Linked DNA regions of Oryzias latipes. The protein of the gene in region 4 purifies or fractionates together with the protein of the main gene of each other region. This does not show direct contact. Links are inferred from orthologs where the notes say so. Each region holds a gene or a part of one and is shown on either strand. Other genes may lie near its edges.

The links.
Region 1: the proteins of prpf40a (region 4) and RNA-binding protein 25 purify together in Homo sapiens (affinity purification with mass spectrometry; 5 studies listed by BioGRID and IntAct, with this or other methods). This does not show direct contact. The link is inferred for Oryzias latipes from reciprocal best matches to the Homo sapiens genes PRPF40A and RBM25.
Region 2: the proteins of prpf40a (region 4) and rnps1 purify together in Homo sapiens (affinity purification with mass spectrometry; 4 studies listed by BioGRID and IntAct, counting the BioPlex papers as one, with this or other methods). This does not show direct contact. The link is inferred for Oryzias latipes from reciprocal best matches to the Homo sapiens genes PRPF40A and RNPS1.
Region 3: the proteins of prpf40a (region 4) and ncbp3 purify together in Homo sapiens (affinity purification with mass spectrometry; 3 studies listed by BioGRID and IntAct, counting the BioPlex papers as one, with this or other methods). This does not show direct contact. The link is inferred for Oryzias latipes from reciprocal best matches to the Homo sapiens genes PRPF40A and NCBP3.
Region 5: the proteins of prpf40a (region 4) and sf3b1 purify together in Homo sapiens (co-immunoprecipitation; 3 studies listed by BioGRID and IntAct, with this or other methods). This does not show direct contact. The link is inferred for Oryzias latipes from reciprocal best matches to the Homo sapiens genes PRPF40A and SF3B1.
Region 6: the proteins of prpf40a (region 4) and snrnp70 fractionate together in Homo sapiens (co-fractionation; 3 studies listed by BioGRID, with this or other methods). This does not show direct contact. The link is inferred for Oryzias latipes from reciprocal best matches to the Homo sapiens genes PRPF40A and SNRNP70.

The regions. Positions count from the first base shown.
Region 1 is NC_019880.2:1,892,313-1,896,867, reverse strand, and holds part of RNA-binding protein 25, read right to left. Parts: intron 4,237-4,555; coding exon 4,187-4,236; intron 4,061-4,186; coding exon 3,890-4,060; intron 3,274-3,889; coding exon 3,216-3,273; intron 2,548-3,215; coding exon 2,387-2,547; intron 2,310-2,386; coding exon 2,115-2,309; intron 2,013-2,114; coding exon 1,929-2,012; intron 326-1,928; coding exon 75-325; intron 1-74. UniProt on the Homo sapiens protein: RNA-binding protein that acts as a regulator of alternative pre-mRNA splicing. Involved in apoptotic cell death through the regulation of the apoptotic factor BCL2L1 isoform expression.
Region 2 is NC_019866.2:11,023,704-11,028,984, reverse strand, and holds rnps1 (RNA-binding protein with serine-rich domain 1), read left to right. Parts: upstream 1-1,676; 5' UTR 1,677-1,768; coding exon 1,769-1,770; exon of another isoform or gene 1,771-1,837; coding exon of another isoform or gene 1,838-1,839; intron 1,840-2,351; coding exon 2,352-2,486; intron 2,487-2,591; coding exon 2,592-2,768; intron 2,769-2,858; coding exon 2,859-2,964; intron 2,965-3,218; coding exon 3,219-3,372; intron 3,373-3,464; coding exon 3,465-3,606; intron 3,607-3,724; coding exon 3,725-3,830; 3' UTR 3,831-4,114; downstream 4,115-5,281. UniProt on the Homo sapiens protein: Part of pre- and post-splicing multiprotein mRNP complexes. Auxiliary component of the splicing-dependent multiprotein exon junction complex (EJC) deposited at splice junction on mRNAs.
Region 3 is NC_019872.2:24,106,644-24,111,692, reverse strand, and holds the start of ncbp3 (nuclear cap-binding protein subunit 3), read right to left. Parts: upstream 3,256-5,049; 5' UTR 3,115-3,255; coding exon 2,935-3,114; intron 2,122-2,934; coding exon 2,056-2,121; intron 1,716-2,055; coding exon 1,610-1,715; intron 1,537-1,609; coding exon 1,411-1,536; intron 1,333-1,410; coding exon 1,213-1,332; intron 1,136-1,212; coding exon 1,011-1,135; intron 492-1,010; coding exon 383-491; intron 1-382. Other genes in the region: rap1 GTPase-activating protein 2, read right to left, coding at 4,869-4,916. UniProt on the Homo sapiens protein: Associates with NCBP1/CBP80 to form an alternative cap-binding complex (CBC) which plays a key role in mRNA export. NCBP3 serves as adapter protein linking the capped RNAs (m7GpppG-capped RNA) to NCBP1/CBP80.
Region 4 is NC_019879.2:20,298,332-20,303,451, forward strand, and holds the start of prpf40a (pre-mRNA-processing factor 40 homolog A), read right to left. Parts: upstream 3,488-5,120; 5' UTR 3,365-3,487; coding exon 3,362-3,364; intron 385-3,361; coding exon 304-384; intron 195-303; coding exon 54-194; intron 1-53.
Region 5 is NC_019879.2:170,931-175,123, forward strand, and holds the end of sf3b1 (splicing factor 3B subunit 1), read right to left. Parts: coding exon 4,112-4,193; intron 4,044-4,111; coding exon 3,861-4,043; intron 3,790-3,860; coding exon 3,678-3,789; intron 3,601-3,677; coding exon 3,480-3,600; intron 3,408-3,479; coding exon 3,276-3,407; intron 3,203-3,275; coding exon 2,930-3,202; intron 1,875-2,929; coding exon 1,658-1,874; intron 1,577-1,657; coding exon 1,418-1,576; 3' UTR 1,111-1,417; downstream 1-1,110. UniProt on the Homo sapiens protein: Component of the 17S U2 SnRNP complex of the spliceosome, a large ribonucleoprotein complex that removes introns from transcribed pre-mRNAs.
Region 6 is NC_019866.2:24,779,412-24,784,501, forward strand, and holds the start of snrnp70 (U1 small nuclear ribonucleoprotein 70 kDa), read left to right. Parts: upstream 1-1,885; 5' UTR 1,886-2,090; intron 2,091-2,450; 5' UTR 2,451-2,456; coding exon 2,457-2,603; intron 2,604-2,677; coding exon 2,678-2,740; intron 2,741-3,864; coding exon 3,865-3,919; intron 3,920-4,001; coding exon 4,002-4,066; intron 4,067-4,133; coding exon 4,134-4,196; intron 4,197-4,420; coding exon 4,421-4,502; intron 4,503-5,090. UniProt on the Homo sapiens protein: Component of the spliceosomal U1 snRNP, which is essential for recognition of the pre-mRNA 5' splice-site and the subsequent assembly of the spliceosome. SNRNP70 binds to the loop I region of U1-snRNA.

The DNA.
Region 1 (4,555 bases), on a different chromosome or scaffold from region 4:
AAGACGGAGTGGCAGACAGAAGCTGTTGAGGCTTCAGAGGTTCATGAAGCACTGAAACCCACTGGACAGACTACCTGGAGCGGCTGCGAGCCTCGCTGACGTCCCGGCTCCTGTCCCGCTCCCGCTCCCGCTCCTTCGTCCTCTCACGCTCCCGGTCGCGCTCCCGCTCCCTCTCGCGCTCCTTGTCCCGCTCCCTCTCGCGCTCCTTCTCCTTCTCGCGGTCGCGGCGTTCCCTCTCGCGCTCCCTTTCTTTGTCCCTCTCCCTCCTCTCCTTCTCCAGCTCCTGACGCTCCTTTTCCTTCTTTCCTTTTTCTTCTTCCAGTTTCTGCAGAAACAAAAAAGGTTATTTTTCCCCTGGTTTTCATAGAACTGCCGCTCTATCTTCAGACTGTGGGGGTCATGTAGGTGGGGGGGTAGAGGGACACATTCTTCCTGAAACACTCGATAGGAAGGATTTTCTGTTTTGGAACCGAGCCGTTTGACCTCTGCAGGAGTATTGTGACGTAACGGGAGCTGGGAATAACCTTCAGCCACAGCGCGTCTGCATATTTTCCACATTAGCGTTCAGTCATGCAAACAGTCGGGAGATGGATTCGATCTGAAGCTGCGGCCCGGAAGCAGGACGTTGGCATCGAGCCGATGACTCACAGCAGGAAGAACAAAGAATATGAAAATACGACAGAGATTCGAGTCACAAAAAAATTCACTTCCCTCATAAAAAGTCAGAATATTAAGGAGCTACATAACTAATAACATATTTTGTTTTCTATGGTTTTATTCATATGATTTATTTTTTCTGATTAAAAAAAAACCACAATTTTTTTTCAGTTCAGTTGTCTCAATAGATGATTGAATTAATGAATATTGGAGAATTAAAAGCTCTAGATATGACTTTATAAAACGTTTAAAGGCGTAGAATCCCTGAAAGGATTGATTTTACAAACGAATGGAGAGAAGCCGCCACAGTGGGCGGGGCATCGCAGCGTTGACAGAAACCAGCAAACCGCTGGATGTCGGGAAACAGATTCCCCGCTGTCCCGGCAGACTGCGGTGAATCTGTGAATTGATGATGAACACGAGGCTCTGCAGCTTCATCAGCTGTAAGTGGGTCACGTGATCAGCTGATTGTGTTGATGTTTACTCCACGTTCCGACATCATTGACCCGTTTTCATGAGTTAACACTTGAGAGGCGGTCAGTCTGCTCACACGCAGCTTTCCCTCCAACGTTAGATCACGTTTACAGGAGCTAGAAATGCTCCAGACAAGAACGTTTGGTGGAGAACGGAGCGTCTGGGACAGAAAAATCAGAGCAGCTTTGTCTGGAAACGATGACGACGGCGGCTGCAAACCGCTGGGAAGTCATGAGGAGCCAGGATCCAGATTTTATGCCTGTTGTTCTCACTTCAAGAATCCATCAACGTGGAGCCAAACAGGAGGAACACAAACAGCAGAAAGAAGCTGTAAAAACAGGAGAACATGCTCCCCTACCAAAGCCTTCATCACACGTCTGCACGGACGATGCAGCACAGCGGCGAGGCAGCAGCTGGAAGCGTCAAAACGCCGTTAAACTGGCAACACGTTGACGGGATCTGTGGTTGCCAGAGCAACGAGGTTTGCAGCAGATAAATGTAAACAGAGAACGAGCTGCGATGCAAAAAAAAAAAATCAGCGTGGAAACGTTTTTTGTTGGGAAGAAAAACGACCAGAAGGCGATTCCAAACCTCCGTCACGTGCGATGAGGAGATCTCTTTATCGTATCTGAGCACCTTACCACTTCAAATAAAACACTAACTTCCTATCCTCAACCCAAAAATACCAGCAAAACCTTCTAATTTTTGTTTCTACGGTTCAGAAGGAAATCAAACTTCTTCCCTTCAGGGAGAACTGTGACTCTGCTTTGTGAAAGGTTGTGGGTTCGACGCCTCACCTTGTGCGTGTCGCGGAATTTGCTGATCTCTCTGGAGATCAGGTCTCGTTTGTCGTCCTCCATCTCCATGGCGTTGATGTCCTCCTTACCCGAAGGACAGACAGAAGAGAAACGGAAACACTAAGCCTCTAAAGACCAACGCAGAGCGGCGGACGCCTGCGCTGGCGTCTTCATCGTGCAGAGTACCTCCTCTTTCTTCTCCTTGCGTTTCTTGTTGCGCGGCTGACTGTCGGCGTCCTGGGAAGGGGCGTTCAGCTCGCTCGAGTACTCTTTGAGGAGGACTTCGATGGCGCCGTTCGCCACCTGGTCCCGCCGCAGAGTTTCTTCGTCGAGGACCTCCTCCTCATCTTCATCTGGCTTTTTCAACCCATCGCCGGTCTCCTTTACATCCAGTGGTCAGAAATATTAGAGGGATCTTCAGAATCAGAGGCGATTTAGTTTGAGCTCTAGCTGCGTACCCCGTTGGCGCTCCTCCTCTTGGCCTTCCACTCCTCCAGCTGAGCCTTGGTCTTGGCGTCCACCTTCACCAGCAGCTTCTTGTCCCCTAAGAGGAGCTCGTGCAGAAGCCGGAGCGCTCGGAGTGTCGATTCCGGCTCCTTGTACTCGCAGAAACCGAAGGCTGAAGAAATCAAGAAGATGAAGAAAGTTCTGTTTCTGTTTAAGTAAAAAAACTTACTGAAAAAAAGCAAGAAGTTTGTGAAAAAAATAGATTTTTTTTCTATTTTGGTTTTTCTCTAAGACAGCATTTACATCACAAGCAGCTGAAGATGCTGGGCTTTTATTCTGAAACAACAGGAAGGACTATTCAGCATCTTCCATTTCTCTAAACTAACACGAGTCTGTCAGCTATCTCAGCCAGCTTTCAAAACTCAACTAAAGCAGAAAAAAAGGGGAAAATAAAGGGGGAAAAAAATCTCTGCTCGTCTGCTTCAACTCTGACATTTACTTCACCACAACTCAGAAAAGCAGCGTTTTCTAAGTGTGTTTGAAAACAGAACAGGAGCTGCATGTAATTTAACGCCATGATTGTGAAGTTTCCAACAAACTGAACGCAGCTCAAAACCCCTTTTTAGACGCATCTTTAATTAAACCCAATAATCTGTAGGTTGTGCTTCCATTTCAAAGTGAATATAAACAAAACAGTTTTTGTTGTTATTTTTAAAAAAAATAATAAAAATATTATTATTTGTTATCTTGTTATCTGCTGGTAGAAAGTTTTATTCTGAAAGCCAATAACCAGGAAGGAAAATCCTTTCAGAAGAAAAGCCCCAAAGAGTTTTCGTTTACCTTGAAGTTTCCCAGAAGCACCTTGGACTCGCTTCCAGCTGAGAACAATCCCACATTTCTGCATCAGACAAACACAAAGCTGTTGACAGTCTAATCAAAGATGGCTGAACGTTTACATCAGAGCAGCTGGAGGTCCGGAGACGTTTGAAACGTTTTAAACTCAAAACCAAAACGGCTTTGAAATCTTTAAAAATATCTATTTTGGTATCGGGCGTTTTGAAATCCCTCTCCCTCCATTTGAATCCTGTCCTTTCAGGAAAGTGTCGTTCATTTCAAAGCTTCCAAACTTTTAGTTTCACTGATCAGTTTTTATCTTCAAACATTTCTGTAGCTTTATCCTAATCCTATCAAAATAAGAGCTTTAAAGCTGTCATTTGTAGGCACAGCGGGCGCTCAGCTTCCCTTCAGTTTTTGATCTTATCCTAAATTCCTTTGTTTCATGAAAACGGAGGTGAGCTGGTTCACTCATTTGACAAGAAAAACACGAGACACACTAAAAGTATTCAGACACCAACATCACTGAGATTTTTGTGACTTAAGGTTTACAGAGGAACTACAAACTTTAAACATTTACTCTGAGAACGATGCCACAGAATGTGGTGAGACTTCAGCAGTTCACAGCCTCCACAAACAGGTTTTTCAAAGTAAAAGCATCTGAATGGGTGCAAACTCACAGCCAGCAGCTGCCTGACCAACATGTCGGAGGCCTTTTCTGAGATGTTCCCCACAAACACGGTGGTGGTGGGGCCCGCGCCGTCGTCCGCATCCCTGGCCCGCCCCATGCCGTGCTCCTTCTTTGCAGCTATGGGCTTCTGGGTAATGGTGACCGCAGTTGGAACCAGAACCTGCGACAGCAATGCAAGGTTTAGAGACGAACGCATCAACTGTGGATGCCATAAAGACGGCGGTGACGGCGGGTCACACGGAGGAGCTGCGGGTTAATGTGGTAAAAACTCTGGTTTCAGACTCACTGTGGGCGCGGGGGCCACTACGCCCATGTGAACTGGGATCATGGGAGTACCTGGAAACAGCAGAGGGAAAAGGTTGGTGTAGATTTTGCTTTCATCCACACTGAATCCTAACTTCTAGGACTGTTTCACCCAGAAAGTTCCCTCAGTTCCAAGCTGTGAGTGTAAAGCCAACAGGGTGGAGCGGACGCTCACACATCTAAGACAAAGAGGCCCTTCAGAGGAGACAGAGGCAGACAGAAACCTGTTTCCCCTCAAACTATGGGAATCCAGTCCTCATGAAGACAGTGATCCACGGTGAGCCTCAAACACAACTGGACTTTAACGATGAATCCGTGAATTGATTTATGATTCCAACCAGACAGAGTTAAT
Region 2 (5,281 bases), on a different chromosome or scaffold from region 4:
TAATTAAGCTGATGTTGCAGGTTTGGATGGTTAAGGACACCAACAAATTGAATGTGCAGGGGGGAAAAGAAATACATCACACAAGAGTCTGCATGAAAGTTCAAACCTTTGCAAAGGGGATTTTGAGTGGCTTTATATTCTGTAACTGTGGTGTCAACAAACAAACAAACAAACAAACAAACAAACAAACAAACAAACAAGTTGTCTGTGACAAAGAAAACATTGTCAAAATGACTATAAAATTCTGCTTTTGACAGACACTTCTTTCCTGGGCACTTGTTTATAAACACCCCTCACTTATAATTTATTTATTTGGACTAAGAAATACATCATTTACTAAAACAAATATATATTTTTTGTCATAATAATTTCAACAATAATATGGGTCAGTTCCTTGACAGAAAAGGACATTTGTTTAGAACTGAGGAGTTTAATCTAACATATAGTAATACATATTTTTATGGACTCGAAGTCTAAATGTCAACACCATAAAATAAAGAAGATGAAAAGAGAAAATCAGTTACACCCCTGTTGGAAAATCTTGTTTCAAATTTACTCAGGAGAATAACAAAGTCATATGTGCCTTGTTTCAACGAGATGTTATTTCAGAACATTTTGTTGTCTTTTAGTGAAATACTTTTGTCTCTGACTTGCTATGGAAAGAACTTTCATTGCATCAGAAATAGTTGATTAATGACAAGATGAGCGATATCTCCTCTCAATTTCTGCACAGAATAATACTAGTCAAGATATTTAACATTGTAAAATATATTAAAGTTTGTTAACATTCTGTGAAAGAAAACCCAAAAACTCAGTCACCTACTTTGGAATTGTAATATTTATTAAAAATCTTTTGATTAGACTGTACATATTTAAAAAATTGCAACAATAACTCAAAATGCGATGCTCCAGTGCTGTGACTATATGTAAGGTCTGCATGGATTTGTATTATAACTTTTTCATTCATCCACACTTGTGTCGTGTATGTTTACAAAAAAAGTTGGCAAGAAAAAAAAAACAACAACGATATATATATATATATATATATATATATATATATATATATCGTTTTAAGATCTGAATTTACTAAATATTAAATTTTTCCAAAATACAAAGAAATCCATTTTAAAATAATGTATGCAGTCTATCCATACAAGGAACTACTATACATATACGTTTTGGTTTTCCAGAAAATAACTGTTCTTTCTGTGACATAAATATAGAAACACTTGATCATCTGTTTTTTTGAATGTATATATGTTAACAGTTTTTGGGAGAATTTCTTTTCTTGTTGCTCCTCAAAGTTTCCCTTTCCTATTTATATTCAATTACAAAAGCAGATCATATTATTTGGAGTAGTTTCTGTTGATAATATATTTGATTTGACATTCAATACTTTATTAATATCTGGGAAATTTTTCATTGATGAGAGCAGATTTTCAAAAACAAAACCATTATTCAATACATTTCATATTGAGATCAGTTTATATTAAAAATCTCTGATATTAATAAAAAGCAAAAATGCAATAAAATGTCTATTTTCATTGAAGATCACGCGTTGTATGAAAATCCCTTGTATTGTAAACTACAATTATATTATTTTTATTTATTTATTTATTTCTATTTTCTTCTTTTTTCTTTTTTTCTGTTGTAGCTTTTGTGTGTGCGTTTGTTTAAAGTTAAAATAAAAAATTACGTAACATCCGCTTTCATCATCACTTCGCGACCTCACACCAGACCGCAAGTGAAGCCATTTTTGGCCGTTGGAATGTAAGATTAACCTTTTTACGTATTTTCGATCTAAATAGCTTTAATAGCGGAACTTGTTGATTTAAACATGTAAGTTCGGAGGCTTTTTTATTTTGCGCGAAAGTTCCTTATAAAGGAAGAAGTCGTTTAACCGCGACGCGGGTGTAGTTTAGTCCCTTGTTGTGCTCAAAAAAAACAACGAGGGAACGAGTCCAAATAGAAGGTTTTTTTTTTTCTGAATGAAAATATTAGTGTAAGGGAAAATATTATGTAATTTACGGTCCTAAACATTTGGAATTAAGCTTAAAATAATTACAATTTATTGTGCACATGTTAAATGTCGGTAAAAAAAAAAAAAACACCGAAACAATTTTGAATTAATTAGATAAAAATGAAATGAAAAAGTTATATATATTCAAGTAATTAACGAGTTAAATTTAATTAATGACCTTTTTGGTGCAAAAAATTTGTATCTAGCACATTTTAAGGCTGTTTCTCTCTATCCAATAAAAACATAAATCACAATCCTTTACATAAACCTAGACATAATCACTTTTTTAGGTTTCTAGGTCTCTAATTTATGTGCTTTCTCGCCACATCAGGGCACCATTACCGATAAAGCGAAAGGAAGATGAAAAGAAAAACAGGGAAAAAGAAAAAATAAAGGAAGGAGACAAGGAAAGGGGTCGCGACAAAGCAAAGAAACGCCGCAGTGCTTCATCAGGCAGCAGCAGCAGGTGAGCTATTTTTTCTTTCTTATATTTAAAAATATAATATAGCATCCTGTCCTGGATGTTCATTCCCAACTAAATCATTGTTTGTTTTTGACCTTCCACATCTAGATCTAGCTCATCCTCCAGCAGCAGCTCTGGTTCTAGCTCTGGTTCTTCAAGTGGTTCCAGCTCCTCTTCCAGTCGCTCCGGATCCTCTAGCTCTCGGTCTTCCTCCTCCTCCAGCTCTTCGGCCTCTCCAAGTCCCAGCCGCAGACGCCATGACAACCGACGCCGTTCACGATCTCCGTCAGTCCATTTTCTCAGACATGAGACAAATATTTATATTGTATCTCAAAAATATTGACAATATTTATTCTGTAATTTTTTATCCTGCAGTTCTAAAACACAGAAGAGAGGAGAAGAAAGAGAACGAAGAAAAAGAAGTCCCACCCCTAAACCCACAAAGGTTCACTTGGGAAGGCTGACCAGGAATGTAACCAAGGCAAGCTAAAAAAACAAACAAAAGCTAAATCTTTGATTTTTAAAAAAAAAATTCTAATTCAATAAAAGCAGATCTTATTTTTCATGATAACTAGTTAGAATGAAATATTCTTTATGTTTATTGTCTGTCAAGATGTGCGCCTAAAACTGCAAGAATTAAATAAAAAGCTAAATATTTTGTTTTTAGTTTTTTTTAATGGAACAATCCTTCACAAAATAATGGTTAAAAACTAAATGTATGTTTCAATTTACTAGGAACACATCCAGGAGATTTTCTCTACATATGGAAAAATTAAAGCGGTTGACATGCCGGTGGAAAGGCTCTTCCCAAACCTGACCAAAGGCTTTGCTTACGTGGAGTTTGAGACCCCTGAAGAAGCCCAGAAAGCTCTTAAACACATGGATGGAGGTAGGAAAGAATCATTTAAGGGGCTGGAGAAATCATATTGACGAACATAAACTTGGTCAGGTAAAAACAAACCTTCCTGATGACTTTTTTAGGTCAGATTGACGGGCAGGAAATCACTGCAGCTGCTGTGCTGACTCAGCTGATCCGTGGTCCTCCACGTAGACTGTCTCCTCCTCGAAGAATGCCGCCACCTCCACCGATGTGGCGCCGCAGCCCACCACGCATGAGAAGAAGGTTATTTAAAAGCTTTCACTTGTACCTTTTTAATATTTTTAACGTTTTATTATGCGGTCCATTGAAACGGAATCTTCTCCCACCTACTGATGCTCGTCCTTTTTTTGTGCCTGTTTAGATCACGCTCCCCAAGGAGGCGCTCGCCACCACGTCGCCGCTCTCGCTCTAGGTCTCCTGGCCGCAGGCGCCATCGCTCTCGTTCAAGCTCAAATTCCTCCAGATAGAAAGTTGTCTTTACTCTAAATACTCGCCGCAGATCAGCTGCAGTTTTCGCATTTCCTGGCTCCTCGGACACAAAGGATCTATATAAATTGCAGTAAATTTAGCTGAGTTCGTAGTGACAAGGAGACGAGAAAAATTCTTTCTTTTTTTTTAAATTTTGTGCTGAAAATTGACTGTAGTTTTTATGTTATGTCTGATGACATCTAACAAGATTTTGTGATTCCTTCATTCGAGTTGATTTTTTTTTTTGAAGAATTTTGAGAATAAAACCTATGAAACATCTTGATTCTGATTTCTGTCATCTTGTGATCCGGCTCAACTATTATTCTGATTTCTAGTCACAAAAATACTTTTAACCCTTATGTGGTGTTCGGGTCTGTGGGACCCGTTTTCATTTTTTATCAAAAGAAAAATGATACAATTAATTAATTTTTCAAACTCAGACTCACTGGCCTTGGCTCATTTTCTGTGAAGAACAGATATCAGAATACATTTTTAATGACCACACACCGTATACCCCCCCCAACACATTTCTATTACATATAAGATGTTCGGGTCCACTGGACCCAGGGCTAATAGAAGTGTGGAAATTGATGTTTTTATGTACCTACACTCTGTCCTCCACCTGTCTGGGCCTGCTGTGTGTGTGTGTGTGTGGGTGTGTGTGTGTGTGTGTGACCAGTGAGAAAGAGAGAGAGAGAGTGGCAGAGAGAGAAAGATTCACTGTAAATGTGAGTTCTGTTTCTGCACCTGCGGTTCCCGCACAAGGTTGCAACATTGTTAGAATAATTCAAGCATCAACTCTGTTTGCTCTCGTTCTCCCGCACATTTGATCATTTGACTTTCTTGCGGGAATCTTTAATATCTCACATAGCAGATAAAGATCTGCTACAAATTGGAGGCGGGACACTATAAATATAGCTTTGCCAGTGTGGTTTCTCATCACAACTGATCAAAATGGCCAAAAGACTTTCTGCGCAGAGGGCCCTGGAATTGATTTTAGAAGAGAGAGACGTTTTCGATGATGATGTAGAGGGAGACGATTCAGAAGAGGAGGTTTCAGAATTGGAGGATCACATTTCTGAAAATTCAGAGTCTGACAGTGACTCTGGAGAAGATGATTAGATTGGGGCGGCCGTGGTGCAGCGGTAGGGTGGCCAACCCCTGATCGTAAGATTGCAGGTTCAATTCCCGCCTTGCAGGCCCATGAGTCAAAGTGTCCTTGGGCAAGACACTGAACCCCACCTTGCCTCTGGTGGTTGGCGGGCGCCTGTGTTTGGCGGAGCCGCCACCAGTGTCTGAATGTGTGAGTGAATGTGTGTGTGACTGGGTGAATGGGTCCGTGACTGTAAAGCGCTTTGTCCTTGTAGGAAGAAAGGCGCTATATAAGTATAAGCCATACCATTTAGATTGAGCATCAGCCAGTTCCAAAACAAAGCCATCAGCCAGGACC
Region 3 (5,049 bases), on a different chromosome or scaffold from region 4:
TTGACCTATGAAGATGTTTTTGATTGGAATAGCTTTACATTTCAGTAAATACGAACATGTAGCAAACTACCATTTTCAGTTCTTTAGAATCTATCAAATGTTGTGGAACTCGGTTGTGTGTAATAATGTGGAACAGTGACTTTGAGGGTTTTATCTTTAGGTTGTGTTCAGTAACATTTACCGTTATTTATACTCTAACGCTTACTGACTTGAACATTCTGCTGACTGACGTTTGCGTTGACAATTACAGAGAAATCACAGAAAAATGTCATTGGTGTAATTTGGAACGTGCTGCAAAAGTGGGTTTTGTGGTTTCAGGTGGGCTTCAGGGTTTGAGAGTCGCCGTCCTGGTGGGCGTGTCCCCACAGACACGGCGGCTCACCTTGTGTGGCGAAGCGCAGCAGCAGCTTGTTCCCCTTGAAGGGTTTGATGGCGGGCCGCGGCTCGTTCCTCAGCAGCGACTCTCTCTCCGCCCGCGACAGGTCGTCCACCTGAGTCGTGCACACACACATAAACACACACATAAACGTGTCAACAGCTCCTCCTGACTCCAGCCTCTTGCTGAGTTTACTGCAAACTCAATTCTCCTGGCGAATTTGTTTCCTCCGTTTTGACACGCGCTAAATTTGCTCCTGGAAGCTTGTCGTAAACCTGACGCTCCTGCTGTGTGTGGGAGGGGCTAAAGGTTTGGAAAATCCCAGAATTTTTTTTTATTTTTGTCTCTATGGAAAAAAGAAAAATCATAAAGTTAAGGAGGAGAGCGGTCAGATTGTCCTCCATGTTGGTTTTGGCCTCCAGATGCTGATCACGTCATCAAAGCATCCTGGGCTAAAGCTGACTCCCTGATTGGTTGACGTGACGCGAATTCGTGACCAAAGTTCAGCCAGAATATTCACCGCTCGCCAGAATCTTTCTGACGCTTCACTCCCGTTCAGTGTGAACGCAGCTTTAGACCCCCCACCCCCCACTCTCTGACTGACCAATGAGCTTGTGCGGTTGGTGACAGCTACCTGTGTTCCGCGCTCCTTCGGCTGCTGCTCCTCCTGCACTTCACTGCTCCTTCTGGCTGCCCCGTCCTCTTCATCGCCCACCTCACCCTCCTCTTCCTCATCCTCTGAGTCTGGACCTCGCTGAGCTGTTGTGTGCAGATAGAGCCATTACCCAGGCTGCACTGCGGCCTCGGAAAGTCAGAGCATGTTTCCACTCGCTGACCTTTGCTCTCTTTGCCTGGCTGCTCTCCGGTCTCCGTGGTAACGGCCTCCGGGTCGGGCATTCTGCTAGTGTTGATGAGCGCTCGGATGGAGGTGTCATCGTCCAACCAGACCACGTTACCTGAAGGATGGAAGCGGTGGTTAAACCTCAGGACCCTCTTTGGGTTTCCTGTCGTCCTGCAAACGTTCGTGCGCTCACATGACGCGTCGTCAATCCACTCGATGTGGGCGGGAGGATACTCCTTAAAATAGCCGAAGATGTCCTGCGTGCTCATGTCGTCCACGCCCGTGACGTGGAGCGCCTCCAGCCGCAGGCGGGGAATGGCTGAAGCAGACGACAACGTCAACAATACACCAACACCACCTCGGGACACGACAAAACCCGGAGCCACCCCCACCTTTCTTTATGGTTTCCTTGTCCAGGACGACGGCCTTCTGACTGACGCTCTGCTCGCCGCAGAAATGGAAACGTCGCGCTCGCTTCTCCTTCTTCTCAATCGCCTCCTAAAACACAAACAACTGTGTCATACCCCGGTTTGTAGTTGGCTACCATGGTAACAGCTTCCTTCACGTCAGAGTTAATGGTTTGTGGTTGGAGGTGAAGGCAGGTCACACGTCTACTTTCTTCTGATCGTCTGGGTGGCAGAGGCAGCAGTCTGAGGAGAGACGAGGCGTTCCCAAGCCAGGCTTGGAGAGGTCGGCACCCAGGTGGGTGATTCAGTGAGGTTCTTTTTCATGAGGCCTTGCACTTTTGGACCTGGACTGGAACTTTATTTCATGCTTTCAATGCTTTTTACCAACAACGAGCTGATCACATGGCAGCTGCGTGATGAGGCTGCGGTACCTTTGAGTTGACGTCAATCCCGGTGATAAACGCTCCGGCCTTGTTCTCGTAACGCCGGCTGGTGTCCTGCAGAGACAGAGCGGGCAGAACTAGGTCATCTGCCAGACCGGGTCATAATGGGCCGAGCCAGACTAAAGAAAAGTACAACTTAAAGTACCGTTAACTTTCACACACCTAACTAGGTATGTGAAATTTGTTCTCCACATTTGACCCCACCCCTGGGGGAGCGGTGAGCTGCGGACACAGCCGCGCTCGGACGGAACTTTATGGTGGATTAAGTTAATCCACCATATAGGGGGTTATTCATTAACTCCCCCAATCTAACCCCTATGCTGAGTGTCAAGCAGGGAGGCATTGGGTCCCATTTTTAGAGGCTTTGGTATGACTCGGGCTGGATTTGAACTCACGACCTTCCAGTCACAGGGCGGACACTAACCCAAGGCTACTGAGCTGGTTCAAGACCGGGTCATGATGGAATGACCCAGACTTAGACTAGGTCATAAATGGGCTGGCCCGGACCTGAGACTGGGTTATAATTATAATGGACTGACAGTAGCTAATCGATCATTTTAGCTGAATCCCCGCAGAAAGCTCTGCTTATAATATATGCACGTTTTTAGACGGATTCTCCAAACTCACCGCCGTTTCTTAGGTAAGTAAAGATCAACAGGTGAGCGACACAACAACTCTCTATTGGCTAAGGGGCCCAGAAAAGAGAAAATCCCCGTGGCTGCAGCGAGCATTAACAGCGGCGCCCGTCACCGACTAATTCCTGGAACTACTAGACGGAGCTTCGGGTAATAATCGCATGCCGACTCTGTATGTTGAAGCAAAACTCCAGTCCCCGGCTCTGCGGGCCTAAGTAGTTCGGGGTCTTACCGGCAGAAGCTCCTTCAGAGAGCGGTTAACGGAGATATCCTCTGCATCCACCTCGCCCTCCTCCACCTCCATCGGTTCGGCTTCGCGAGCGTCATCTCGGTCCGACTCGGAATCCGGTTCCGAGTGCTCTGAGCCGCTGTCTGGTTTCACCGATACCCGCAGGCTGCGCACCGCCGCCATGGCGCTAACTACTGCGAACAAGGGCTGCTGAGGCTGCGGTGGTACCGTGACCCGGCACTGGTTCGGTGCGGTGGTACCGTGACCCGGCAGACGTTCCCTGCTCTTCTTCTTCGTTGACGGGAATGTAACCGAGTCGGGGGTCTGGCGCCCCCTATCGCACCGTTCCGTCACAGTCAGTTTGTCAAAGTTTTTTTCTTAAACTTTATTGTTCAAAACAAATAGAACAAATATGTATAACAAGAACAACAGTCATTAAAAACGAGAATGCCAGGGGATGGTACATAGATACATGTATTACAAAAGAAAAATTACAGAAACAGATTGCTATGAATTGAAAATGTTCAAAGTCAGTTTGTCAAAGTTGATGGCTGGGCCTCCAACAACTATGACATCAGTCAGCACCAGAGCCTGGAGGAGAGACTGTCTGCAGCCCGGATCCTGTTCCAGAACGACCCGCCGTGCCCGGTGGTCGTTGATGAAGTGAGCAACGCCAACGATACTCTGTTTTTCCCCCAGCTGACCTTCATTCACCTCCTTCCCAGAGCAAATCGTCTGTGGTTGTCTCTCTCTGCATGAAACCAAGGTGTTGTTCACAAATGTTCAGCTCTGACTTCAGTCTGGCTTGCTCTCCTCTGTTTCATGACTTCTCTGTGACTCATCCGTTTTATTCCTCTTGATGAACAGTCCAGTCATAAACTGACAGCCACCTCTCCTAAACTAACATGTTCTTTATTCATCGACTCTTCAGCGTTCTCCTCCATGTATGTCGTAAAATCTGTCGAGACATTTACATGTATGTACTAGGAACAAATGACACATCTGTTGTTCCACATCAGTTTTTTAGCTACAAACTAATGACTTCCGTTCAGCTTTTAGCTTTAACATGACATGTAAATCAGTTCATGGTGAGTTTTGGATTTCTATATCTGGGTAAAATATGTGTGTTTTTTACATTTCCCTTTTTTTTTTTTTTGCTTCGCAGTTCTTCTCTTCTCTGCACAGTGGCGCAGTGGTTGCCTCACAGCAAGAAGGCCCCCGGTTCAGGTCCCGGCTGGGGGACCTGAAACAGAACATCAATGGGGGACATTTCTGTGTGGAGTTTGCATGTTCTCCCCGTGTATGCGTGGGTTTTCTCCGGGGTCTCCGGCTGCCTCCCACTGTCCAAAAACATGCTTCATAGGTTAATTGGTTAATCTAAATTGTCCATAGGTGTGAGTGTGAGTGTGAATGGGTGTGTGATTGTGGACATTCTACCCTGCGACAGACTGGCGAACTGTCCAGGGTGTCCCCTGCCTTCGCCCACAAGTGGCCGGGATAGGCTCCGGCAGCCCCGTGACCCCGAAAGGGAAAAACGGAATAGAAATTCAATGAGTTCTTCTCAAAATGTCCCACAGATCCGACACTTGTCGGGGAGAAAGAATGTCTTCCATGTTTGTGAGGAAATAATTTATTTCCTTTGTGCACCACATGAACAGAAAACACCTCACATTACACGGATCACATGATTACAAAAAGTGCTGGAATCAATAAATGTGAAAAACAGACAATTTAAATCCCAAAGAAACCACTCAGACGAAAGAGGACAATTATTGAAATAAATTACACTTTGACTCGTTTAGTGTAAAAAAACTAAAAGGACTTTTGTGAAGTTCATACATCAAACTGTACAAGTTAAAAGCTCCAAAAATCTTGCTGTGATCCTCAGAAACCAGGTTGTTGAGTGTGAAACAGAAGAGCTGCAGTGAAATACACCATCAGTGGTCCTCACAAAGGTGGGGAAGCTTGTCTGTGTGCGACAGTTCCTGTGGAAAACAGACAGAAAATCATTCACTTGTGTGTCCATGAAGATTGTCCTTCATGTAGGTAGAGTCCATCAAAGCAGAAAGCCGTTTTAGCAGACGTTTAGTCAGTTCAGTATGATTATACTACTGCCTC
Region 4 (5,120 bases):
CAACACATTGCAGAAGAAGCTGCATGGGCGGTACAAATGTCATACAATCATACCTGTCCCAATGGTGGGGCTGCCATAGGAGGCATTATGCCAGGGGGCATTATACCAGGAGGCATAGGAGTCATGCTAGGTCGCTGACCCATAGGGGGCATTCCCATCGGAGCAAAATGAGGTGGTATTCCTGGCGGTCCCATCTGGTGAAGCGAAAGAGAAAAAAAGACAAACATAATTCTTATTTACTCCAAATACAACAGAGAAATAAAAAAGACAAAAACATATTTTTGAAAATTATCCATCACTCACATATGGAGGAGGTATTGTTGAGGGTGGTACAGCCGGATAAGCTGGTGCTTGGCTCGGACCATTGTTAGCTTCTGTTGAAGACTGTTAAGAAAAAGAAACAAAACACAGTCAGAACTCATAACTTGTACTTTTGGAAAGTCCCTTAAGAGTCAATTATTTAGGAAAAACCAATAAATCTAAATCCTCAAGTTTATTGACCTGCCAAAGAAAATATTTAAAGCAAAGCAGTATAGAAACAAACTAACTTAAAGTTAGCATTGTAATTACATGAGGACAAATATCATTCCTTTCATAAAAACATGCATAAGTATTTTAAAGTCAATCAGTATAAAAAAATAGCAATCCCAATATTTTGATGATACATTTACTGATATATTAAAAAATATATTTTGTTTAAACTAGTCATGACAGAATTCCTACAAAAACAGCATTTTATAGGATTTTAAAAATTGAAAGTGATTATGGTGTTAAATAAACAAATCTCATTGCTAGGATTTTACATTTACTGTGCACTTCAATGTTCTAAATCCTAATTGAAACCAGTTTAGACTTTCATTTGAAGCTGGAGTTTTAAAAGCCAAGCTAAACTAATTAAAATTAGTAATTTAAATGTAATAGGTTCTCTGACTGGCTAGACAGGCAATATTTGACGTCATACAATGGATTTTTCAGGGGGACAACAAATGAAGTAACTAAACTGTACTCTGTGTTCCTCCAAGCATTTCAATTCTGAGATAGAAATTAAAAAGATGAGAAAAAATCTGTTGCAACAAGCCACTGTGAGTTTTTAAGACGATCTGCCAGAAATTTTTTTGCGCGGTTTTAAGTTTCACCCTAATATACCCATGAAAAATAAGGAGCAAAACCAACGACATCGTTCATGACAGAAGTTGGAGTTTTAGGTGGGGTGGTCCAGACGTTGTCAGAGGTAATAATAAAAAATCAGGTTTTATCTACAGAAGTCATTTATATTTTCAGCCGTTAGTTCTGCAGCTGTTTTTAACACTTTTTTCAAGTGTTTTTTTTTTTAATACAAGGCATCAAGTTAAACCAGAAAGTCTAAACTGAGCAGGTAAATGGTTAAACAAGGGGCTGTAAATAAAATCCAAAGATTCAGGAATGAAAAAAAAACACTGGAAAGTGAAACAGTTCTTAATGGATGGCTAAAGTAAAAACATGTCACTTAATAAATATGTGACTTTGGGGAGGGGGGGGGATTCGTGTTAAAACAAGAGTTTTAATTTAAATTACTTTAGAGATACTCACTTTGGTTTTATTCCTACTCTCAAATATATGCTCATTTTAATGTTTTCTAATGTGGAGGTGATGGGATCAGGGAGTTAAGAGCATTGTGTTTTTATTAGTTTGATGTTATTTTTATGAAAACAGCATTGGCTCTTTGATTTTTTGTGTGTGAAGACCTTTGCAATAATAAAGTATTAAAAAGTGCTCTATAAATAAAGTTTGATTTCATTTGCTTTATTGTGATTATATATTTAAACAATCTGTGTTTAAAATCACTTACAGTTGAAGACATTGGATCTATTTACCACTTGAATTGTATTTATATAGAATAATCCAATTAAGAAAAGATAGAAAAGAAAGTAAGAATTCTTCGGCTTGATGGTGTTATAACAAACAAAATATTGTTTTATTCAAACAACTACGTCTGTGTACCAGTTTTATCCATTCGTATCTACAACATACTTTAGTGGGATTTTGTTAAAAAGCAAAACATTTACAGCATGAGTGGGAAAATTTTGCTCTATTTTAGGCAAGTTTTTTTTAATCTACTTTTAGTATTTTCGTTACTTTACAAATAAGATGTTTTTTTTCTATTATAGTTAGTGGAGGGAAATGATTCACTTTAGCATACTTTTTGCAATAGAAATGATCCATTTACCATATCTTTCTACTCTAAGTGGACATAAAAGCTTCAACGAAAATAATTTTGATCAAAATAATATATGTTTAGATTTGTATAGAGCAGTTGCTTTAACTACCCTTCCCCACAATTTTTGAGACAGAGGCAGAATTCCAACTTTAAAGTTTTTTTTTTTTTAGCTTTCAAGTTGCTTTTCACAGACTGTTAATACTTTTCAACTATGTAACAATGCATTGAACTCAAATGCTAGTCATACTCCTGTTGAGCTGTGACACCTGAAGCTGATTTTTACTGACAAATATAACATTTTAACCATTTGTAAACATTTAAACTTTAGTTGAACAGTACTTCTAGTTCTAACTTTTTGGAACTTGGCCTGTATTGTTTTTCTTTATCTAACACGTTAAAATAGAACATCTACAACTTTAATCAATTCAAATTACATGCACAATTAAATGTATATCCGCAGGAAAAACAATCTAGTTATTCATTGTCAAGATGTTTTTCCCCCAAAATAGTCTTAAACTACCACAGACAATTTATTTTAAGGAAATCCATTTAAAACGTTTATAAATAATACATTTTTTTAAAGTGAGCAAGTTATAGTTATCGTTTAGGTTAACTGTAATTTCACAAATAAACATATAGGTACAAAAGTGTAAAAATACATAATTTTGGTCAATAAAAAAGTATCTCGTGTAGATAGATGGATTATCATGAAATATAAAAAGTCTGTCCCTATTCTTAATTACCCTTCCTTCAATTCTTAAGCATCAGTTAATGATTGTTATAACGAGGAGGACACGGGCTAGGTCTATGCTCTGGCTAAGAAGAGTAAGAGAGGCAGCGATTGTGACCTTTACACCAAACCACCTTTACATAAAATGCATAAATTATCTACTGCCACACTGACAGAACAAAATTCATTTTACAATTGGGAGTTTATTCTTTCCTTATTAGTGTTTCTTCTCATGGTGATAGTCGATGACATGACGCTAACTCGGCTAAATGCTAACAAAAAAGCTAACGTCGCGGTTTTGTTGAAACGTCTAGCCCCTCTATAGTAAAATAAGCTTTAAAATAACCTTCAAGAAGTAGTGAATTTAAAGCCACAAAATGCATTTAGCATATAACATGAAAACAAAAACTAGCACTTGAAGCAACGATACTTACCATGTTGTCTCAATGAGCCTTCGACAAATGTGAGCATCAGCACCTCCCAACAAAGAGCGATACGATTGGTCGACGTTGCTTCCGGCGCAAAGAGGTCAAAGTTTGTAGCTCAGTGGCGTTAGTTTGCGCTAAATGTGCGCAGACATGCGCATCAACGGGGATGAGGGGAGAAGAATTCCAGATTTATGAGTTTCAAAGGGAAAAAAACACAACACAAACGAACTATATAACAAATTAAAAGTAGGGCAAATAAAAGAGTGTGGCTCAATGTAACTTTTGAGTCAAATGTTTCACTTAAAACATCACACATATTATTATGAAATAACTCATATGTCCATATGATTGTAAATGGTATAAAATGTGTTCACTCTTTTCTTGACAATTACCAGACCTGCTCAACATCTAATGTAACCTCAACCAATTTAGAAATCTGAAAAGGATATTTTGCCAAAATAGGGCAGAAGAAATGCCACTAAAAGGCTGTTAATTATGCCAAGAATAGTCTTATAAGGGATTTCATTATCTTTATTCTTTACTAGGTACATTGAAAATGAGTCGGGTAAAGATGACTATACTTGAGTGTAATGCTGGTTGCCTTACACAAAAACGGAAAGAGCTGTTTTTTGATTAAACATCATGTAGAATTTGGAGTAGCTGAAATAAAAAATAACAATAACAAATGAATCAGTTAAAGATACATTTATCAAATATTTTCTTTTGCTTTGCTTTAAGCATGGGGTTAATTATTGATACTACATTTCACCTGTCGTTTTTCTGTTTCTTGACAATTAGGTTGATTAGATGTCTAAACCAGGGCTCAACTAATTCCCACTTTCCAAATAAACATTAAAAACACTATATTTATAAGAAAAATAGTATTGTATTGGATTCATCTGCGCTTTTCCAGACGCTCAAAACCCTTACAACATGTTTATTATTCATTCTCTCCTCATTCACACTTGGTGATGGTAACTACTGATGTAGCCACAGCTGCCCTGGGGCAGACTGACAGAGGCGTGGCTGCCAGTATGCGCCTATGGTCCCTTTGACCATCACCGGGGCATTCATACGAATTCACACACCAGTGGAACCACACTGGAGGCGGGGAGGGTGAAGTGTCTTGCCCAAGGACACAACGATAGTTGACCGGGGGGAGCAGGGATCAAAACGCCGACCCTTCGATCATTGGCCGACCTGCTCAACCGCCTGAGCCACTGAGTGCTTATGATCTAGTCCTAACCCAGTTCGCCAGTACCTCATCTTTGTCTGTGCTATTGATTCACAATATATGAGTTGGTCAATGTTTGCTGCAGGCCATTTTGAGGCAGTGAGTTTTGAGTCCAGCATCCTGCTGACCTGCCTTGCAGGCACTGCAGTCTCATCTGACAATTGGCTTCCTGTCAAGCATAGCCACATGAGCTACCAACAAAGCACATCACATTTAGAGTCTGTTATTCAAGTTGCCCCGTAAGAATGAAGAGACATAGGTTTAAACATTTAGTTTATTTAGGGGAAAAAAGCATCTCATAGTCTTGGTTTAAAGCTGAATATTTCACTAAGAACCTAGCTTTTTTTAATGTTTTGCACATTTTAAAATGTAGAACAAAATAAAAGAAATCCATAAATAAGGGCTAACACAGTGTGATTCTCAGCTTGCATGGATCGGCGTGTTGTTGCCTCCCAACTCCGTGAGACTACATTTGTCCTTGTTATAACCCCTTGTGGTTGTTCTCAGACAACATAGCTCAAAAATATTGTG
Region 5 (4,193 bases), about 20 Mb from region 4:
CTGTGATGCTGGAGTCCACCAGCACTGTACCCCTTTTAGTCTGTGACGGTGGAGTCCACCAGCACGGTACCCCGTTTAGTCTGTGACGGTGGAGTCCACCAGCACGGTACCCCGTCTAGTCTGTGATGCTGGAGTCCACCAGCACTGTACCCTGTCTAGTCTGTGACGGTGGAGTCCACCAGCACGGTACCCCGTCTAGTCTGTGACGGTGGAGTCCACCAGCACTGTACCCCGTCTAGTCTGTGACGGTGGAGTCCACCAGCACGGTACCCCGTTTAGTCTGTGACGGTGGAGTCCACCAGCACTGTACCCCTTTTAGTCTGTGACGGGTGAGTCCACCGGCACGGTATTCCGTCTAGTCTGTGACGGAGTCCACCAGCACGGTCCCCTGTCTAGTCTGTGACGGTGGAGTCCACCAGCACTGTACCCTGTCTAGTCTGTGACGGTGGAGTCCACCAGCACGGTACCCCGTCTAGTCTGTGATGCTGGAGTCCACCAGCACTGTACCCTGTCTAGTCTGTGACGGTGGAGTCCACCAGCACGGTACCCCGTCTAGTCTGTGATGCTGGAGTCCACCAGCACTGTACCCCGTTTAGTCTGTGACGGTGGAGTCCACCAGCACGGTACCCCGTCTAGTCTGTGATGCTGGAGTCCACCAGCACGGTACCCCGTTTAGTCTGTGACGGTGGAGTCCACCAGCACGGTACCCCGTCTAGTCTGTGATGCTGGAGTCCACCAGCACTGTACCCCTTTTAGTCTGTGACGGTGGAGTCCACCAGCACGGTACCCCGTTTAGTCTGTGACGGTGGAGTCCACCAGCACGGTACCCCGTCTAGTCTGTGATGCTGGAGTCCACCAGCACTGTACCCTGTCTAGTCTGTGACGGTGGAGTCCACCAGCACGGTACCCCGTCTAGTCTGTGACGGTGGAGTCCACCAGCACTGTACCCCGTCTAGTCTGTGACGGTGGAGTCCACCAGCACGGTACCCCGTTTAGTCTGTGACGGTGGAGTCCACCAGCACTGTACCCCGTCTAGTCTGTGACGGTGGAGTCCACCAGCACGGTACCCCGTCTAGTCTGTGATGGTGGAGGCAGAAACACAGAACACAGTTTTTATACACAAATGTTTTATTTGATTAAATAAATCCTTGATCTAAGAACAGAGGTGGTTTGAAAAATGAGGGAGGTGTTTGAATAATCAACAAGGACAGAGAAAGCAGACACTTAAAGAGGAGTCCACCCCTACTGACCCCCCTTCTTACAGCAAACACTTCAAAAAGACCAAAGTAAAAAAACAAAACCTTACAGACTACCTTCTGCTCCGTCTGGGATTTCTGGCCTGAACAGAGAGGCTGACACTAAAAATAAAAACGGGCCTAGAGTCATGGCAGACCCTAAGGGAGGGGGGCAGCTATATTTACAGGACGTACTCTAGCTCGTAGCGCACATACACGTTCTTGTCGTCGTTGTAGACCTGCGGGTACTGCGCGATCAGGGCGTCCTGGGAGCCGATGTAGATGGAGTTGTAGATCTTCCAGTAGACATCTCGAACCTTTCTAGCTGGATGGAACAGACCCTGTAGAGACGAGAACCGGACTTTAGCAAAACACCACAACCAGGAGCACCAGTGTGGTCGAGGTTAGAGGCTGGGCCTCACCTGTAAGCAGTACTGCAGCATGCGACAGGGGCCGAGGGCCACCCGGAGACCCTCCAGGGCCCCCATCACCGCCTGGATGACATGTGGCGAGGTCTCAAAGACGTTGGGCCACACATAATTCAGCAGGTGGTTGAGGGAGTCCTCGCAGCCAAAGCCGTACACGCCCAGAGACATGTGCTGCACCACCGCGCTGGCCGTCTGTCTGTGGACCAGGTCCCTGTGAAGCACAGCAAACGGGTCAGAACCACAGAGAGCCAATGCGTTCTGAGCAGCAGATCCGTTTGTGGTTAAAGTGGTTCTTGCTCCATGTAGAGGAGGCAGCACCAGATCTGGCATGGATGTACCATAGAATCCGCTCTTTCAGAAAAGCCTTTAAGCCACTAGAAGATCCACAATTTATAATATATATAGTATTCTGTAGGTACCCCTCAAGTTTAAGAACTGCATTTTGTGCAGGAACGACCCATAGTGACTCAAATTGGGGCAATAAGACAACTCAACTCAACTTTATTTATAAAGCACTTTAAACAGAACAAGGTTCACCAAAGTGCTGAACAACACAAAAATTAATAAAAGCACATGAAAATATAAAGCATAAAACACATAAAATAGGTCCGGACTCCAACTCAGTTAAAAGCCAAAGTGAAAAAATATGTTTTAAGAGCAGATTTAAAAATACTAAGTGAGTCTATCTGTCTGAGGTACAGGGGCAATTCCTTCCAGATTTTTGGTCCGAAGGCCGAGAAGGCTCGGTCACCTCTCCGTTTTCTCCTGGTCTTCGAGACGACCAGCTGTGTCTGATTGGTTGACCTAAGGGAGCGGGGGGGAGTGTACACCTGAATCAGGTCAGACAGATATTTTGGAGCGAGTCCACGGAGACATTTAAAAACAAATAGGAGAATTTTAAAATCAATGCGTAAGCGAACTGGGAGCCAATGAAGAGATGCTAAAATGGGAGTGATATGTTCTTGTTTCCGTGTACCAGTTAGAAGACGGGCAGCAGCATTACAGTAGTCCAAACGTGTTGAAATAAAAGCATGGATTAAAATCTCAAAGTCATGGTGAGAGAGGAGAGGTTTAACCTCGGCCAGTTGTCTCAGGTGAAAAAAACTGGATTTCACCACTGAGTTGATATGAGCATTAAAAGTTAAATTGCTATCCAATAAGACAACTGGGTGTCGCCATCCTCACAAACATTTTTCCCACGGCAAAGAGGAGATCCTAAAGCACATCCATGCTGCTGAACGGGGGGAGAATAACAAACGGCCCCACCTGTCCATCAGCGCGTCCTCCAGCAGCGGCGTGACGGCGTAGATGTAGTCTTTGCCCATCTCTCCGATGTACTCAAACAGGAAGGAGAGAGATTTGAGGACGCCGTTCTGCACGTTCAGCTCGGGGACTCGGTACTCGTTCATGAGCGCCGGCAGCACGGTGAAAGGCGAACACGTCTCTGCCACGATGGCAATGGCCACGGTGGTGCAGACCCGGTTCTGCCGCTCCTGGACCTTCAGGTTGTTGAGCAGTGTGGCCAGAACGTCGTGAGGGCTGCGAGACAGAACCGGAACATTTGAGAGCAGGTCCGCCTGCGGACGGCGGGTGGTGGTGGATGAGCACTCACCCGATGGCTTTGGCGATGTAACCGAAGGTGTTGACTGTGGCTCTGCGGATGGCCTTTTTGTGAGCCTTGAGGAGCTCCAGCAGCTCAAAGCAGATCCTCATCCACTCCCTGGCAGACACGTACTCGGCCCCCCTGACAAGAAAAGGAAACATGGTTTAAAGGACAGCTGCTGAAACGGCAGCAAAACCTCCAGAACCAACAGACCTGTCAGCGATCCGGCCCACCAGGTCGATGCAGTTCTCCTGGACCTTCTCATGCCGGTTCTTCAGGATGGGGGTCAAGCGAGGAAGCAGGTCTTTGATAGGAGGGGTCATCTTGTGCATTCCTGCAACAAGAACCAGTCAGGATTTTCTCTGTAATACCAAATCTTGGGCAGGTCGTGCATGAGGGGAGGCGGCGCACCAATGACGTTTACGATGGCCTTGAGTGCGCCCAGGATACTGCCCAGAACCTCGGGGTACTCCTCTCCCAGGTACTCGTACAGCACCACCCCCAGATGGCCCATCAGCTTCTCCTGCAGAGGGACAGCAGAGCGGGTGAGGCCTCAGGCCTGAGCTGCAGGTTTACGGGGGCGGGGTCACCTACCTCCTGACAGGTCTTCATGACCACCGCTGTGCGTGAGATCAGGTCCGCCGCCTGCTGACGCACTTTGGCGGACTTGTTGTTGAGGCGCCACAGCACTGTACCGCAGATCTGAGGCAGGTACGGTTTCACGCGTTTGCCCAGCGCGTTCACCACCGTGCCAAAACCGTTCAGCATCACAGAGTCCTGCACACGGACAGAAGGTTAACCAAAGCCCCCCATAAAGCAGGAATCCATGCCTGCCCGCCCCCTACCTCTGTGGTCTGCTCCTGGAAGGCGTACAGGATGCCATCGATCAGCTGCTCCTCCAGCTTGTGGTCGATGTCAGCTGCCCCC
Region 6 (5,090 bases), on a different chromosome or scaffold from region 4:
AATCAAACCCTGCTCTCCCATGTGCCGTCCTGGGCTAAACCAACTGAGCCATCCAGCATGCGATAAAGTAAGAATATAGTGAAACAAATGGCATTTTATGTTAAAAAAGGTAACGAGAATGGTTATCCTGACGATTTTAATGACAGAGTTATAGCTGTTTTATAATTTATTTAGGTTAAAACAAATTCATCAATGTTTTAGCAGGACTACAACATATAGATGCTAGAATTAGCAAAAGAGCTCATTTATTTCTGTATTCGAAAGGCAGGTGAAGGAGATCCGTCCAAACCACTGACCTCATTGAAGAGTAAACATTACAGATTAAGACATGAAACATAGAATAGCACAAAGTAGACAAATCCACACAAACCATTTCTCTGTAGATGTCTATCAGATTTGGCTTCTTTGAACCAGCAGGTAACTCTTGTTTGGAACCGCAGGGGGACGAGTCACTCAGTCCAGTTTTCATACAGTCAGTTGTTCATAGGTAGATAGGTTGGTTGGTTGATTGATTGATTTGGTTTGGTTTCTTTCAAGTATTAATTGTAGTCAATACAAGAGAAAAATCACACGGATGTATCAAACTCCTTACAGAGATAATCAACTGCATAGATTCAAACAAACAAACAAACAGAAACAAAGACACACTTAAGACACATTTAAATATAGTGATTATTAACTAAATAGTCAAGTAGAAAGTGATTTAGTGCTAGGAAAAAAAGGAGTTGGAAAAAGCAAATTCATATAATCTCACTCCTATTGAGTTATTTTGTGTGAGAGTTTTGCAGTTTTGGATGATAACGCTCCACCACATGCTGCCAGAATGATCACAACCAGTCTCTAGGCTCATATGGTCTGACCAGCAATGACCCTTGACCTGAACCCCATAGAGCAGGTCTGGGACCAGCTGAAGCAGAGACTCTTTTGTAATAAAATTAAGGGTATTATATTAGTTTAATCTGTGTTCCCCCACACTTCAATACAAAATGTAAAGTACGGTAAAACCAAAGAGCAATATAACACATGCACACTCTGACATGGTAAAATATACTTGGATTTGTTCAAAACAAAAAGGGTCTTGGTTACTTTATTTTTTACATAAAATATGAGATTTCCATGTTCATTTGTCATCCAACATAACCCCTAAAATTTAAATTCAGACACCTGCTCTATATTTATGTTGTCAATGGATAAAGCCACTTCTGTTTTTTCTTTATTACCAAATACCATAAACTTTGTTTTTGTTAATTATAATCAAACCACATTTTAAGTTTCATTTCCTTTTTAACACTTTTAAGTTAGGGTTTTAGATTATCCCTGAACAGAGAAATTTGTCTTCATGTCCAAATAAAACAAACTGCAACAACTTAGAAATACCCCAAACATTTATAATTGAACCTTGTGGAAGTCCACAAATAATATTCATGAGATCAGACTTATTACCTCCAAACTGCACATACTGTATTGTCTGTTTTGTAAATAACTGGTGGGCGATTGCTCTAACCCCATACGCATGCAGTTTAGAAATCGAGATAGAATGATCTATGGTGTCAAATTCCTTCTTTAAATCAATGATAACTTTTAATGTATTTTTCTTTTTGTCAATTGCTGTTGAAATTTCTTCAACTACTTTCATTGTAGCAAAACCTGTAGACCTATTAGAACCAAACCCATAGTGATTCTCACTTAACAAGTTATTTATTTTTTTAACAAAAAAATAAACTTTTAACAATGTCAAAGGAAACTTATATTTATTTCAATAAAATTCAGAGCAAAATGGGAAAAATCACATGGAAATCACATTGTCAATAATAAACTCATTGGACGGCGTCCTGACGTCATCACGTAAGTTACGTCAAAAGACGTACGTTCACGCGGCGGTCCCCCCCGCCATTTTATATTTTCAACAGGCCGAGCAGCCGCAGTACGCAGCCAGCTATCTCCACGTTGTTTTCAGCTCCATTTCCAGCATTTTTATCTTCACGGAGTCTCTTTTTGGCGGTTCTACGTTGAGCCACCGAACCCGCGGACAGTCCCGCTCCTCCTTCAGGTCCATGAACTAAAAGCTGCTGGACTCTGGAGGAGAGAAGGTGAGTGTAAGGGCGCAGTTAGTGGTTAGCTCCATGCTAACGGGAGCGCTACATCCCACGAGCGGAGCAGACGCCTCCGGCTGCCTCCGGACGGCCAAACTCTTAACTTGTACGCAGACCATAACGTGTACTACTGTGGGAGGGGGTTCCTGATGTTCTACTTCTGGATGCATGAAATGCGTTGAACGCGTCCCCCGTCCTGTGGGGAAGTGAACAATAAGCGCGTGAAGCTAGCTAGCTAGTACGGGTATTACGGCTAGCTAGCTAGCTAGCTAGCTGCCCTGACAGCTAGTTTCGCTGCTTCATTGTGTTGCGGCAGATCCGTGTCTGATATCATGCATGTTTTCCTTATCGATCAAGTGAAAGATGACGCAGTTCCTCCCGCCGAACCTGTTGGCCCTGTTCGCCCCCCGGGACCCGATTCCGTTCCTGCCTCAGCTGGAGAAGCTGCCCCACGAGAAGCATCACAACCAGCCGTACAGCGGCATCGCCCCCTTCATCAGACACTTCGAGGTGAGCGTCGCTGTCACGTGCGAGCCTCCGTCCCCCCGATGCCTCTGTCTCACCTTCCTACTGTTTCCCACCAGGATCCTAGAGATGCCCCCCCACCAACCAGAGCCGAGACCCGCGAGGAACGCCTGGAGAGAAAGGTGAGTTTCCTCCCCCCTTTGCACATGTGCTCAAATACAGAACCTGATGGATAAATAAACGGTTTATCTCTGCTTTCATCCAGAAGATTTCATATTTGCGTTTGTTTTGCTTTATGGCAGCTGGCAGTAGCACAGATTCTGTCACATCAACCCAATGAATCATGGGAGATGTAGTAAACTCTGTGACACTGATGCAAATCTCCGGGCTTCATTATTGGATGCACTTTTTACACGGTCTGACACCGGATCCTGCTTGAAGCTACACTTCCACCATTGTTAGCTGGTATTTTGTCAGGGTGAGGAACTGGGGGTGTTTTACAAACTTTTTCCAAAATAAGAGCCATTGGCCTAAGTTGCTGCACAGTAGTGGTGCAGACATTTTTTTTAATCAAAGTGTCTTAAATAGGAAGTAAAAGTCTTCTGTGATCTGTAGTACTCCCAACTGAAACCTGGGCGTATTTCGATGAACGTAGAGCTAATATTCTGGCGATGGAAAATGTTTTTTTTTTTAGAACAAATAGGTGAAATTGAGTAATTTCTCATGGCACACTCAACCATCTCTTTACTATATAAACCTCTAACCTGATCCTGTCTGTGCTGCAGCGTCCACCAGTCGTTACTGTTTGGATCTCTGATTGTGCTGCGTAGATAACGATGGAAGGCATGTATACAGAAAATTAGGATTAAAATTGCATTTGTTAGTATTGTTGTTTGAGAAACTCAACGCCTGGATAGCTCCTTTATCGCTCGCCATTTTTGTTGCACAGATAATGTTATGTTGGGGTTGTAACGTTTCAGTTGAGCGTCTTGAGCCATAAAGGAAATTTATTTGTGAACTTGTGAATTGACTGAAGCAGGAGTTTGGCTGTGAAGCACAGACCTAATGAATGCAGATTCTCAAAGGAGGGGTAGTTGAATTACAGTCCTAACTCCTTCATTCAGCATTTTCTGCCTCGGTGAAAACCTCTCAAGTCTATAGAAATATTATACCAGGCAGGAGCCCAGCACAGGTGCATGCTGGCAGCAGACAAGAAACCAAGTGCGGGATTATGTCAGCTCTGTGCTGATGCTCTGCTGTTGGAGGCTCTGCGGTTGGCCGTCACCATTTTCTTTTCTGTTTCCAGAGGAGAGAGAAGATTGAGAGGCGACAGGGAGAAGTGGAGACAGAACTGAAGCTCTGTGAGTTTGTCACTTTCTTCACGCCGTTCTCCTCAAACGGTGAAAAGCTTTGTGCTCATCCTTCCTGTTTGTTCCATGTCAGGGGACCCCCATAATGACCCCAATGCTCAGGGGGATGCCTTCAAGACTCTGTTTGTGGCACGAGTGGTGAGTATTTGTCTTGGTTCTTCTCACTCCTTGTTCACATCTGGTAATTAAAACCTTTTTGTTTCAGAATTATGATACGACAGAGTCCAAACTTCGCCGTGAGTTTGAAGTCTATGGCCCCATTAAACGGGTAGCTATTGATTATTATTTTTCTGTGTCCAGATTTTCTTCAAAACATGAACCCTTTTGTCTTTACAATGTGAGAAAATTCTCCTGGCTCTTCAAAATACTATAAAAAAAAGTAAAGAGCCGTGCGTGAAGCGTTTTGGCGCCGCTTTGTGCGTGTCGTCGTGCGCTGACTGCATGTCTGCTGCCTCCGCTCTGCCGAGTCTCACCAGGAGTTTTTCTTTTCAGATTTACATCGTCTACAACAAGGGAACAGGGAAGCCCCGCGGCTACGCCTTCATAGAGTATGAGCACGAGCGAGACATGCACTGTGAGTACGGCTGAGGCATCGGCCACCAAAGCCAGTCTGTGTTGGTGTGTGTGGATCAGAGCACTGCTCGTCACTGATGCTTCTGTAAGGAGACCAGCAAACTGAGCTCTGCTCACCAGATCCATGTCTGCTGCTCGTCTGACGTGTGTGTGTGTGTGTGTGGGGGGGGGGGTCTGCTCGATGTGTCGCCGGTGGACTAACAGTTGCGTTTAAAGGGGGGAGGAGTCATTTATTGGAGGCGTCGGGGTGGAGTAACAGAAATGTTTGATCTGTGAACCTGAACATGTTTGCTTGTCAAAGGGCACATTGTCTTTAAGTGTGAGGAGTTGTAGTTCAGTGGAAGAGCCGCTCTCCCGGTGGGACTGTGATGGTAAGCTCAAGGTGGACACCAAACACGGAGCAGGCTTTCTGCCAATCACTCGTCACCTTTAATCATTCAGTCTTGAGTTTGTCTGTCAGTTTGAGTGGTGGTCTTCAACCCTGGTCATGTTGGAATAAGAATTCTCCTGATCCGGATGCCACCAAATGTAAACATAGTCCAGACTCGACCCAATGCTTGAGTTTTGCTTCCTGGTCTGGTTCACACAG